Yarrowia lipolytica: one gene and its partner. The protein of the gene in region 1 purifies or fractionates together with the protein of each later gene. This does not show direct contact. Links are inferred from orthologs where the notes say so. Each region holds a gene or a part of one and is shown in the gene's direction. Other genes may lie near its edges.

Region 1 (3,763 bases):
CTTGAGGCAATCAAGAATGGGAAAATATCTCGCTTCCCCCGACGGTCACGTGACGTTCCCGGATCGTTGAGCCTCAACTTTGTCAATATTACTTTGATTGGAATTTCGACGCCGGAAATCGTCTAGTCAGCTCGAGACAAACCCAACGACACCCCGAACGGCCACATTATCTCCTCCGGGTCCGAACATGTCGCGCGGAATCTTGGGCGTCGCAGTTCTCCTGCACGTATACGGCAATCTGTAAACCTTATTTCCAACATGAGCCGAGGTACAACAACAGCAACAGTGGATATTGTGGTCTCAATGTTGCTCGAAATCACTAGATATCAAAGCTGGAAGTTTCTGGAACAATAATTAGTCTCCAGGATAAATTTCACGTTATCAGCTTTCGAACTAAAAAAGTTAGACCATCGTCTAAACTTAGCAGTGATGGAAGTCTACAATACCGATTTTGGGGACCTGATAGTGGTCGGAGAAAGATAAAAATGCCACCATTGAACTCTCCGCAAGCCAGGGAGTATTTTGATATAATTATATAAGCCATAAAGCCACTGGATCAAAAACTACCAGACTCCTAATTCCACACAACCATCCCAGACTAATGTCGCTAGTGGGGACCCTGAACGTGATTGCAAAAGGGCGTGGCGGAGAAGAGATGAATCACGGGACTTGAACAAGGAGTCGAGAGCTTTTTTCTCTGCGAGTCTGATGGTTCTTTTAGAATTCCTATGCGTCCATTATTCGTCGAGTTGGTCTTGACCGGTTCACTATTGGATGGGGCTAGAGTACTGATCCAGCAAGATCCATCTATATCCACGAATAGTGCTCCGATTGGACTCGGAAGAGGGTCATTATGTTTCTATGGTTGGCGGGATCAATACTACGATTGTTTCCGTTGATGTCATTGGCTATTTGTACTGTGTTTATGCGATCATTGGTTAGTGGTCCTACAGAGTCCATTCACAGTGGCCAGTGCGATCCAAACATGTTCACAATCACCACAAATGTAATTCAAACGTATCATGTCGTTGAGAATCATCCGGAGACCACAAAATGAGGTACATCTTTCCCATTTCTCTTTTCTACCAACCACAACGAGTGACTTCAATTCACGCTCATTTATTTCGATTTATTTAAATAAGATTTTTCACTGAAAAATATTGCCACTCTGACTCTTCCGGCCCAACATTGCAACGACAACTCCCACAGAAAATCCAAACATATCATTTTGTTCGTCTCGACGAGAGTAACGCAATGATACCCTTCAACTCTCTCCGACGTGCTCCCCCCTCAGGCACAGATTATGACCTCTTCCGCCCTCCCCCAAACCTTGTTTAAAAAAAATCGAAATCGTGCATATTTTTTCTACTCACACAACTCCACCCAGACAACAGAACCACCTAGACACATTTCCCGTACTACACAGACATGAAGGCGGACTACAAATTTTCGAATCTGTTGGGGACCGTGTATCGGCAGGGAAACCTGGTGTTTACGCCTGACGGCACGGCGCTGCTTTCGCCGGTGGGCAACCGGGTGTCGTATTTCGATCTGGTGAAGAACACCTCCTTCACGTTCCCGTACGAGCACCGGCGCAACATCACGTGCATTGCTCTGAATGCGCAGGGCTCGCTGATGCTGACAGTGTCGGACGACGGCAAGGCGATTCTGGTCAACTTCAAGCGACGGACGGTGATCCATCATTTCAATTTCCGCGACGTGGTGTCGGACGTTCAATTTTCGCCGGACTCGCAGTACTTTGCCATCAACATTGGTGCGCGGCTGGAGGTGTGGGCGATCCCCAGCGACACAAACAGCCGCTCGTTTGCGCCGTTTGTGCGCCACAAGCGCTACGAGGGCCATTTTGCCGAGATCACGTCGATTACGTGGTCCGACGACTCGCGGTTCTTTCTGACCACGTCCAAGGACTTGACGTGCCGCGTGTGGTCGCTGATGGATAAGGACTCGGGCGCCGCAGCAACGCTGGGCGGTCATCGAGACACCATCACCAACGCCTTCTTTTCGCAGGACCAGGAGACCATCTACACGGTATCCAAGGACGGCGCCTGTTTCGAGTGGGCGTATGACGATAACGACGACGGTGACGACGGCTTTGTGGGGTGGAAAATCAAAGACCGGCACTACTTCCACCAGCAGTCGGTGCTCAAGTGCTCGGCGTTCCACGCCAAATCGAACATTCTGGTGGTGGGGTTTGCCAACGGCACCTTTGCCATGTACGAGCTGCCGTCCATGACGCAGATCCAGACCATGTCCGTGTCTCAGCACGGCATTGACTTTGTTACCATCAACTCCACGGGAGAGTGGATGGCGCTGGGCGCGAGCAAGCTGGGCCAGCTGCTGGTGTGGGAGTGGCAATCCGAGTCGTACATTCTCAAGCAGCAGGGCCACTTTGACTCTATGAACTCCCTCGTGTACTCTCCGGACGGCAGCAAGGTGGTAACCGCGTCGGAGGACGGCAAAATCAAGCTGTGGGACACCTCGTCGGGGTTCTGCCTGGTCACGTTCACCGAGCACTCGGCAGCGGTCACCGCCCTGGAGTTCTCCCGCAAGGGCAACGTGTTGTTTTCGGCGTCCTTGGACGGCTCCGTGCGCGCCTGGGATCTCATTCGGTACCGCAACTTCCGCACCTTTGCTGCCCCCGAGCGAGTCCAGTTTTCGTCCCTGGCCGTGGACCCCTCCGGCGAGGTGGTGTGCGCTGGCTCGCTGGACAACTTTGACATCTACGTGTGGAGTGTGCAGACAAGCCAATTGCTGGACACGCTGGCCGGACACGAGGGTCCCGTCTCGTGTCTGTCTTTTGGCGCCGAAATCGCCAACGCGTCAATTCTGGCCTCCGCGTCGTGGGACCACACGGTGCGGGTGTGGAACATTTTTGCGCGTACGCAGACGGTGGAGCCGTTCCAGCTCACGTCGGACGTGCTCCAGGTGGTGATGCGGCCCGACTCCAAGCAGCTGTCGGTGTCCACACTCAACGGCGAAATCTCCGTGTGGGACATTGAGGAGGGCAAGCAGGTGGGTAGCATTGATGGAGCCAAGGACATTAGCGGTGGGCGGCACTCGTCGGACCGGTTCTCTGCCAAAAACTCGGCGCGCTCCAAGTACTTTACCTGCATGACCTACTCCGCCGACGGCAAGTGTCTGATTGCCGGCGGCAACTCGCGGTTCATTTGCCTGTACGACGTGCAGTCGGGCGTCTTGCTCAAGCGGTTCGAGGTGTCGCGAAATATGTCTCTGGAGGGCACTCTAGACTACCTCAACTCAAAGAACATGACCGAGGCCGGCGCTCTGAATCTGATCAACGACCCAGACGGGTCCGACTGGGAGGACCGCGTGGACGACACTCTTCCGGGCGTGGTTCGCGGCGACAAGTCCAAACGACGCACCCGGCCCGAGATTCGTACCACCGGCATCAAGTTCTCGCCCACCGGTCGCCAGTTTGCTGCAGCCTCCACCGAGGGTCTGCTCATGTACTCCATCGACGACGAGCTCATGTTCGATCCCTTTGATCTGGACGTGGACGTGACTCCCCAGACCACGATGGAGGCGCTGGAAAACAAGGAGTATCTGATTGCGCTGGTCATGGCCCATCGACTGAACGTTCCGCGGCTCATTCAGCGTGTCTACGAGTCCATTCCCGTCGACACCATTGAGCGGGTCGCGCGGGGACTTCCGGTCGTCTATCTCGAAAGGTTTCTGCGATTCCTGGCCTCTGCAACTGAGGCTACTCCCCATGCCGAGTTCC
Region 2 (2,225 bases), on another chromosome or scaffold:
GTGAGACAGTTGCCAAAGACTCTAAAAAGGGCTAAAAACAGCAGTGTGAAAGCATACAGGATGTGGTGATTGTATCTATAAGAAGATACTATTGCAACTGTCTATGTTGAGGGACAGATTACTTGTACGGGGGTGTCTGGTAGCTACAGTTCGATGCATGTATGAACAGGCTTATGCAAGAGTCTGGATCATAGTGTACATATTACAAGTATGTACAGTACACTGTAGTACATACTGTATTTGTGACAGGTGCCCCTACTCTTGTCGTATATATTGTTCTCATTGCTGACTTGTCTACACTATAGTCTCTACCGATCTCTGTGGATGTGTTGAAGTATATACTCTTCACCTGTAGTCATATCTGGATGTTGGCCAAGATCTCAACTTTTTTGCAACATTCGTAACTTGTCCTCAACTATACCATAGATCACCACCCATTTTTATTTCCCACCACTCATATCTGTTACCCTTCCTCCTGTGGCTTGGACTTTTCACACGATTTTTTTATTTTATTTTTTATCTCCTGAATTATATTCATGACATAGTATAAATTAAGCTTTTTAGTCATCCCCTTTTTTCCTCTGCTCACGTGCATCTCCCAATACTACCAATAAACTTTTCACATGACTGTCCCAATCGGGAAAGACAGTCACACTCTTCCACTCACACCTCTCCCAACCACGGTGGTAAAAACCCAGCTGAACTTTTCACTTTCACCATCTCCACAACAAACTAATCAAAAATGGGTCGAATGCACAGCAAAGGAAAGGGAATGAGCGCCTCCGCCATCCCCTACTCTCGAAACGCTCCTTCTTGGTTCAAGCTCACCCCCGACGCTGTCGTTGAGCAGATCATCAAGTACGCTCGAAAGGGTCTTACCCCCTCTCAGATTGGTGTCCTCCTGCGAGACTCCCACGGTGTCTCCCAGGTCAAGGTTGCCACTGGTAACAAGATTCTGCGAATCCTGAAGTCCAACGGTGAGTATTAATGGTTATTGGTATTAACACAGAGGTTGTGGTCCTGTTGGAAATGGAACAAAACGGGTTGAATGGTTTTTGCCGAGCTCAAATGGATATGACCATCCGCTACTGCTCGTCAAAGACCTTCTTCAAGTTAACTCCGTTTAACGAAAGTGCAAGTTTTGATGTGTTGTACGTCTCTTTCGTGCAACTCATACTACTCACTTTAGTCAACGCTACAACATGTAGAATCGTGGAAGAACATAGTACTCGTCAAACAGTGTGATTACTGCAGACGACACCATTTGTCTCCACACAGGTAACCAGAACCTCTGATTGGTTGTTTGAGAAATTACACATTTTGAACACTGCTGACAGAGAGGCCTTGCCCCCGAGATTCCCGAGGATCTCTACCACCTTATCAAGAAGGCTGTGTCTGTGCGAAAGCACCTCGACAAGAACCGAAAGGACGCCGACTCCAAGTTCCGACTCATTCTCATCGAGTCTCGAATCCACCGACTTGCCCGATACTACAAGTCTGTTGGTGTTCTGCCCCCCACCTGGAAGTACGAGTCCGCCACTGCTTCCGCTCTTGTCAACTAGAGTGTTTAGTGGTTGTACTTTACATAAAAATGAAAATGCATTAGCGCCTATTTATCATCAGGACGAAATACGAGAACGTAGTTCGAGTGTTTCCGACTCTATCTACCATGCTGTAAAAGAAGTGAGAACAACGTCCGAACAACCATGAGAGGAAGTAAACATGTGAGGATACCAGAACCTCCGGTCGAGTCGACCTAAAAGAATCTCCACTACTTGTACTTTACATTCTTCAATAATTCGGTTGAATCACTATTTACTATACTATACTACATACTATACATCTCCTTCAGTCCGTGCGACAGTGCGCACTTATTGAGCCTTGGGCTTGTAGCCAATCGCCTCAAGTCGCTCCAGCAGCAGAGGATGGGATCGGTGGTACGAGTTGTACAGCCAATCGCCGTCGTAGTTGCTGAGGTTCTCCTGGTGGATGGTGATCAGACTCTTGGCCAGAGCATCGCCATAGCCAAGGTCCTTGGAGAACTGGTCGGCCTCAAACTCGTTCTTTCGAGACATGCCGTTCATCAGGAAGGTGACACCGTACTGGATGGGGCTGATGACCTGCAGATAAAGGGTGTTGAACAGGTAGGCGGCGGGTCGGTCGTTGCTGAAGAAGCCGAGAGAGGTGTAAAAAGAGTCGTTGTGAGCAAACGCCAGGAATCCAAG

The links. Proteins that work in one complex are often made in the same cells at the same time.
Region 2: the proteins of YALI1_B01839g (region 1) and YALI1_F14712g purify together in Saccharomyces cerevisiae (affinity purification with mass spectrometry, with the first as the bait; 3 studies listed by BioGRID). This does not show direct contact. The link is inferred for Yarrowia lipolytica from reciprocal best matches to the Saccharomyces cerevisiae genes PWP2 and RPS13.

The regions. Positions count from the first base shown.
Region 1 is NC_090771.1:182,524-186,286, forward strand, and holds the start of YALI1_B01839g (uncharacterized protein), read left to right. Parts: upstream 1-1,428; coding exon 1,429-3,763. Other genes in the region: YALI1_B01826g (uncharacterized protein), read right to left, coding at 1-91, 143-260. UniProt on the Saccharomyces cerevisiae protein: Required for bud-site selection and cell separation. Also involved in nucleolar processing of pre-18S ribosomal RNA.
Region 2 is NC_090775.1:1,470,365-1,472,589, reverse strand, and holds YALI1_F14712g (40S ribosomal protein uS15), read left to right. Parts: upstream 1-742; coding exon 743-977; intron 978-1,341; coding exon 1,342-1,562; downstream 1,563-2,225. Other genes in the region: YALI1_F14688g (uncharacterized protein), read right to left, coding at 1,872-2,225. UniProt on the Saccharomyces cerevisiae protein: Component of the ribosome, a large ribonucleoprotein complex responsible for the synthesis of proteins in the cell.